Macaca mulatta: one gene and its partner. The protein of the gene in region 2 purifies or fractionates together with the protein of the main gene of each other region. This does not show direct contact. Links are inferred from orthologs where the notes say so. Each region holds a gene or a part of one and is shown on either strand. Other genes may lie near its edges. The genes, in order: PRKACA and MAP2.

Region 1 (3,818 bases), on a different chromosome or scaffold from region 2:
TCCCCAGCAACGGTGATGCTGGAAAGGGGTCCCCTTTAAGAACCATTGCTCTTAAGGCAAGTGCTATGATGATTTCCATTTCAGAGAAGGGGAAACTGAGGCTTGGAAGGGTTAAACAGCTCTTCCAAGGTCACATTGAGGCATGGGATGGGGCAATTCCATCTCAGGTCTACTGGACTCTAGAACTTGTATTCTCAGTTGCTGCTGCTGCCGCTGCTGCTGAAGGCATCTCTGCTGGGGTTCAGAGACTTCTGAAATATTCATGCTTATGACAAACTTTTTCTCTCCTCTCTTTCTGCATAGCTAAGGCTCTTCCATTCTTTAAAGTGCAGCTCGACTCTTCTTGAAAGTTTTCCCCATACACTCTGAGCCCATAGCCTTGTATGCAAGTCATCACTGGAGTTAATAGTTGCAAGAAACGACTTCTTGTTCCTGCTGTGCCTCTTACACGCTTTGTGACCTTGGCCATGGCCCTTAACCTCTCTGGGCCTGTGCATGCCTCTCAGATGTGGGGCAGATATCCCAGGGCTGCACGAGGGAGATAACACCACTGAGGGTGTGGGGGAACTAGAAAATGCTACAAAGAAGGGAGTCATGTGCATCTTCTCCTATGGGATCTTCTGTGATTTTTTTTCTTTCTTTCTTTTTTTCCACTCTGGACCATTTTCTTTTTTTTCTTTCTTTTTTTTTTTTTCTGAGATGGAGTCTTGCTCTGTTGCCCAGGCTAGAGTGCAGTGGCGCAATCTCAGCTCACTGCAACCTCTGCCTCCTGAGTAGCTGGGATTTACAGGCATACGCCACCACAGCCGGCTAATTTTTGTATTTTTAGTAGAGACAGGGTTTCAGCATGTTGGTCAGGCTGGTCTTAAACTCCTGACCTCGTGATCCGCCCGCCTCGGCCTCCCAAAGTGCTGGGATTACAGGCGTGAGCCACCGTGCCCGGCCTACTCTGGGCCATTTTATTGGCAGTTTCTATTCCACCCATGGCAGATGCCTCATCTTTCCTTTTTTTTGAGACGGAGTCTTGTTCTGTCGCCCAGGCTGGAGTGCAATGGCGTGATCTTGGCTCACTGCAACCTCCGTCTCCTGGGTTGAAGCAATTCTTTGGCCTCAGCCTCCCAAGTAGCTGGGATTACAGGTGCCTGCTACCATGCCCAGCTAATTTTTGTATTTTTAGTAGAGATGGGGTTTCACTATGTTGGCCAGGCTGGTCTTGAACTCCGGACCTTGTGATCCACCTGCCTCAGCCTCCCGAAGTGCTGGGATTACAGGCATGAGCCATCGTGCCAGGCCTTCATCTTTCCCTTTTAGTGATGCTATGTGTCCAGCCGGGCACCCCACTTGCCTGAATTTTTTTAAAAGACTGTGTCTGGCTCTGTGACCCAGGCTAGTTTGCAGTGGCACAGTCACAGCTCACTGCAGCCTTGAACTTCTGGGCTCAAGTGATCCTCCTGCCTCAGCTTCCTGATGAGCTGGGAATACAGGGGTGCACCATCACGCCCAGCTAATTTTTAGCTTTTTTTTTTTTTTTTTTTTTAAGAGATGGGGTCTGGCTATGTTACCCAGGCTGGTCTGGAACTGCTGGCCTGAAGCCTCCACTTCCCAAGGTGCTGGGATTACAGGCGTGAGCCATTGCACCCAAATGCAAAGTTTCAAAGCCAATCAGTGGCAGAGCTGGGACTGGGGTCCGGACTGGGGCCCAGGCTGAGCCTGAGGACGCTGCCACCACAGTGTCGTGACTCTGGGCCGACCAAAAGCTCCTGTGTAGGAGATGCTGGACCAAGTCGGGGGATGGTCGGGTCTTCCCAGCAAGGTGGTTGAGCTGAGGGCACAGGTGGGGTCCCCAACCTCTCTCCTGCTCTTAGTGCCTACGATGATTACCTACTCACCAAAGTGTGATCTTGGCCAAGACACATCCCTTTTCCCAGCCTGTTTCCTCACCTCTCCTGCAGAGGGTGCCACCATCTCAGGGTGTGACTGATGGGGGGATTCTAGGGCCTGGTGGATGGCAGGCACTTTGCGCCTGTCACAGATGTGAGCTGAGGTGGTTTCAGCACCCCTCATCCGAACCCTCAGAGTTAGGCAAGTCTGGGTTTGGGAGAGGAAGCATGGGCTGTAAACGCTAAGTGAGAGCACTCCTTGGTGAGGCTGCGGACAGCACCTGGGAACAGGAACCAAATACACTGGTTTTTCTGCCTTGGAATTTGCGAAAACTCACACTAACTGGGACAAGGAGTGACGAAGAGGGTTGCCTGGCAGGGCGGTTTGTGTTCTGCGGCCAAGAAGTTTCTGTGAGGCTTGGGGTTTTGGAAGCTCTTGGGATTCTGGAACCGCGGGGTTGGGGCTGGACAGTGAGGGGGCCTCAAGGTGTTGGCCTCAGTGTTGCCGGTGCGTCCAGCTTCACCACCTGGCCTGACTTAAGGAACTTCTAGATTATTCTGACAACAAGCAGGGCTCCCCAGGGAGTAGGATGAGTGAGCAGGGGAGGGTCTGTTTCTTCCAGGGCTGTGTCCCCGCAGCCGGACCTCACCTTCCCAGAGACGATCTTCTCATAGATCTGGATGGGCTGGTCTGCGAAGAAGGGCGGGTAGCCAGCGGCCATTTCATAGATAAGAACCCCCAGGGCCCACCAGTCCACAGCCTTGTTGTAGCCCTGGAGCAAGATGGGGGGGCACAGGGTGAGGAGGGGGCGAGCAGGAGAGCAGAGCCGGCCTCAGGGGAAGGGGAGGGCTGGGAGGCGCCTACTTTGCTCAGGATAATCTCAGGGGCCAGATACTCAGGGGTGCCGCACAAGGTCCAAGTGCGGCCCTTCACGCGCTTGGCGAAACCGAAGTCTGTCACCTGTGGGCACAAGAACAGGCAGTTGGCAGGAAGGGAGGGTCCAGGCCACGGCTTCCCCAGGGCTGCCCCTCGCCCGGCCTGGTGGGCACCTGAATGTATCCCTGCTGGTCAATGAGCAGATTCTCCGGCTTCAGGTCCCTGTAGATGAGATCCAGCGAGTGCAGATACTCGAAGGTCAGGACGATCTGGGCCGCGTAGAAACGGGCATGGGGCTCGCTGATGGGGACAGATGGAGAGGTGAATGTCAGTGGCCATGCCCCAAAATGGTCCAGCAGGTGGCCCTGCAGAGCCTTCCCCAGAGGAAGACAACTCCAGTCCAGCTGTCAGAAATGCGAGGCACCTGATTCTTAGATAGCCCGACACGGGAAATAGCCTGTAGGTCCACCCACAGGAGAATGGAATCACAGACTGAGCTATAGTCATATAATGGAATTCCACTCACCACCACCACTGCCAACAGGACAGCCCATGCATCCACTCAACAACGTGGCTGCATTTCAAACTGATTATGTTAAAGCAAAAGAAGACACAAAAGAACATGAATGATTCCATTTATATCATGTCCACGCCCAGACAAAACAAAGGCACGGTGTTTGAAGTCAGAAAGGACAACTGCCTTTGGCGGGGAGGTGACGTGTCGAGAAAGGGATTTGGCCCGGTGCGGTGTCTCATCCCTGTAATCCCAGCATTTTGGAGGGTCGAGGTGGGAGGATCACTTGAGCCCAGGAGTTCGAGACCAGCCTGGGTAACACAGGCAAGATCTCACCTCTGTGTGTATGGAGAGATGTGTGTGTGTGTGTATATATATATATTTTTTTTCAGTATTTTTTTTGAGATGGAGTCTTGCTCTGTTGCCCAGGCTGGAGTGCAGTAGCATAATCTTGGCTCACTGCAACCTTCGCCTCCTGGAAACAAGTGATTCTCTTGCCTCAGCCTCCTGAGTAGCTGGGATTACAGGCATGCACCACCACACCTGG
Region 2 (3,818 bases):
CGCGCATATCTCTGATGACAAATCAGGACTGAGTAAGGAGTTTGACCAAGAGAAGAAAGCTAATGATAGGTTGGATACTGTAATAGAAAAAAGTGAAGAACATACTGATTCAAAAGAACATGCCAAGAAAACTGAAGAGGCTGGTGATGAAGTAGAAACATTCGGATTAGGAGTAACCTATGAGCAAGCTTTGGCCAAAGATTTGTCAATACCAACAGATGCATCCTCTGAGAAAGCGGAGAAGGGTCTTAGTTCAGTGCCAGAGGTAGCTGAGGTAGAATCATCCAAAAAGGTGGAACAAGGTCTGGATTTTGCTGTCCAGGGTCAACTAGATGTTAAAATTAGTGACTTTGGACAGATGGCTTCAGGGCTAAACATAGATGATAGAAGGACAACAGAGCTAAAACTTGAGGCTACACAGGACATGACCCCCTCATCCAAAGCACCGCAGGAGGTAGATGCATTTATGGGTGTCGAGTCTGGCCACATGAAAGAAGGCATCAAAGTTAGTGAGACAGAAGTCAAAGAGAAGGTGGCCAAGCCTGACTTGGTGCACCAGGAGGCTGTAGACAAGGAGGAGTCCTATGAGTCTAGTGGTGAGCATGAAAGTCTTACCATGGAGTCCTTGAAAGCTGATGAGGGCAAGAAGGAAACATCTCCAGAATCATCTCTAATTCAAGATGAGATTGCTGTCAAACTGTCGGTGGAAATACCTTGCCCACCTGCTGTTTCAGAGGCTGATTTAGCCACAGATGAGAGAGCTGATGTCCAGATGGAATTTATTCAGGGGCCAAAAGAAGAAAGCAAAGAGACCCCAGATATATCCATCACGCCTTCTGATGTTGCAGAGCCATTGCATGAAGCAATCATATCTGAACCAGCAGAGATTCAGAGTGAGGAAGAAGAGATAGAAGCCCAGGGAGAATATGATAAACTGCTCTTCCGCTCAGACACCCTTCAGATTACTGACCTGGGTGTCTCAGGTGCCAGGGAGGAATTTGTGGAGACCTGCCCAGGTGAACACAAAGGAGTGATTGAGTCTGTTGTGACCATCGAGGATGATTTCATCACTGTAGTGCAAACCACAACTGATGAAGGGGAGTCAGGGTCCCACAGCGTGCGTTTTGCAGCACTAGAGCAGCCTGAGGTGGAAAGGAGACCATCTCCTCATGACGAAGAAGAGTTTGAAGTAGAAGAGGCAGCTGAAGCCCAGGCAGAACCCAAAGATGGTTCCCCAGAGGCTCCAGCTTCCCCTGAGAGAGAAGAGGTTGCATTTTCTGAATATAAGACAGAAACCTATGACGATTACAAAGACGAGACCACCATTGACGACTCCATCATGGATGCTGACAGCCTCTGGGTGGACACTCAAGGTGTGCATTATTATTATTTTTTTTAAATTTTCTACTCTCAACTCAAACACAATAACCTTATGGGATTTTTTTTTCACTTAAACATTTTAAAATACCTCTTTATCTCTTTGTTTTGCATTTTGTTAAATATACAAAGGATTTTGTACACTTGTTACTAATGTTTTCACTGTTGTTGTTGTTGTTGTTGTTGTTGTTGTTGTCATGATTTGCTTTGATCCACAGATGATGATAGGAGCATCATGACAGAACAGTTAGAAACTATTCCTAAAGAGGAGAAAGCTGAAAAGGAAGCTCGGAGATCATCTCTTGAGAAACATAGAAAAGAAAAGCCTTTTAAAACCGGGAGAGGCAGAATTTCCACTCCTGAAAGAAAAGTAGCTAAAAAGGAACCTAGCACAGTCTCCAGAGATGAAGTGAGAAGGAAAAAAGGTTCATTTAACAATCACTTCTTTAAAAATGTTTTTGAAGTAATTCATTATTACTTTTTTGCAGAAGAACTGCCTAACAGTGGTAACTAATTATTTATAAAATTTCGTTCGGTTTTGCTCCAAGTGTTTATTTTTTCCTGATGGTATGCTTTTTGTGTTTTCTTATTCATAGCAGTTTATAAGAAGGCTGAACTTGCTAAAAAAACAGAAGTTCAGGCCCACTCTCCCTCCAGGAAATTCATTTTAAAACCTGCTATCAAATATACTAGACCAACTCATCTCTCCTGTGTTAAGCGGAAAACCACAGGTGACTGTTCAATTCTGCAATGTGACTGGCAAACATAGACATGTATTTTTTTTTAAATCTCATTACTGTAGCAGCTTCTTCATTTTGTTTTTCTTCCAAGAATCTCAGCAGTTATGAAAAATTTGCTATTAAGTGTCTTGTATCATTATTCTTTTTTTCCCCCTCCTTACAGAAAAGGTCATGACCATCTGTTTCTTTGTCATGCTCAGACATAACAGTGCGTGATTGTATCTTGGCATTGTGCTCTAGTGTCACGTTCTGGGGATTCCTATTTTCATTCTGTGTGTTTGGTTAGACGATGGCGATGAATTTAACTGTGGTATGCATTCTCATTATTTTGCTTATTTATCCCTCTCATGCTTAAACCCATAAATATTTGTCCTATTTTCTACATTGTTACTGCCAAATCTGTTACTGATGTTGATGAATTTATTGAAAACCACCAAGAATGTGTAGTGATTTAGATACTGAAAATGAAAAGCAAGCCAGGAAGTGAAATTGTGGTTTACAAAATTACTATGACTTTGCTTTTGTTGGAAAAAAAAAAAAAAGAAAACAAAATTTTCTGGTAATTATATCAGATTTTATTCCTCATATCCAAAATTAACAAGGTTTTCACTCTACTAAACTACATCTCTTAGCTGACCTTGTGTCATGGAGATTTTCTTAAATATGTTGGATCCAAACTACTCAACTTTTCTATATAATTTAGTATTCAAAAATTTGAAGCGAAAACTCTTCCTTTTTGGAGGAACTTAAGTTAGAAATAAACTTCAGTTTATTTTTACTTTGCTACCTACTTTTTTTTTTTTTTTTTTTTTTTTTTTTTTTTTTGAGACAGAGTCTCGCTCTGTCACCCAATCTGGAGTGCAGTGGCGCGACCTCGGTTCACTGAAACCTCCGCCTCCTGGGTTCAAGCAGTTCTTCTGCCTCAACCTCCTGAGTCGCTGGGATTACAGGTGTGCACCCAGCTAATTTATATATGTATATATATTTTTAGTAGAGATGGGGTTTCACCATCTTGGCCAGGCTGGTCTTGAACTCCTGACCTCATGATCCACCTGTCTAGGCCTCCCAAAGTGCTGGGATTACAGGCGTGAGCCATCGCGCCCAGCCTGCTGTCTACTCACTTCTCTTCTTCAAATACATATTTTTTCCTAAGTTTATAAAACTGATAAAACAAAGAAATAAAACATGTTGGAAACCATCATAAAAACCCCTACAAATATCTGTAATGCCAACTTTTTTCTAAATTTCAGTGCAAAGTATTTATTTTATATGTTTAATTATACTAGGATAATCTTACAGTATATTTTATTTTAGAGTTTATTAAGTGGCATGCTTGTAGCCTACAAAATGACAGATCGCTAAATCAGAAAAGAATGTTTTTCTTTCCATTGTACATCATCAGTGCCTCTATATAAATCTTCGGATGGTTTTAAAGGTTAAAAGGAACATTAGCCTTTGTGAGAAAGAGAAAATCAAGGTAATTGATGGTTTTATTTTAGTTATTGAAAATTCCAAGTATTTTGTATTTGTGTTCTTCATCTAGAAATCATATCATGTGCTTTCCTTCAAAAACAAGAATCTAAGGCCGAATTGGAAAATGGAAGGCTTGTATATATGCAAACCTTGATAAAGCTTCAGGATGAAGAATATCTCTGAAGTTAGGAGTTAGAAATTAACATGACACACCTCAGTTCATTTTCT

Evidence for each region.
Region 1: the proteins of MAP2 (region 2) and PRKACA purify together in Homo sapiens (affinity purification with mass spectrometry; 3 studies listed by BioGRID and IntAct, with this or other methods). This does not show direct contact. The link is inferred for Macaca mulatta from reciprocal best matches to the Homo sapiens genes MAP2 and PRKACA.

What each region holds. Positions count from the first base shown.
Region 1 is NC_133424.1:14,682,009-14,685,826, forward strand, and holds part of PRKACA (cAMP-dependent protein kinase catalytic subunit alpha), read right to left. Parts: intron 3,058-3,818; coding exon 2,931-3,057; intron 2,842-2,930; coding exon 2,746-2,841; intron 2,654-2,745; coding exon 2,531-2,653; intron 1-2,530.
Region 2 is NC_133417.1:114,860,006-114,863,823, forward strand, and holds part of MAP2 (microtubule-associated protein 2), read left to right. Parts: coding exon 1-1,373; intron 1,374-1,595; coding exon 1,596-1,802; intron 1,803-1,973; coding exon 1,974-2,108; intron 2,109-3,818. UniProt on the Homo sapiens protein: The exact function of MAP2 is unknown but MAPs may stabilize the microtubules against depolymerization. They also seem to have a stiffening effect on microtubules.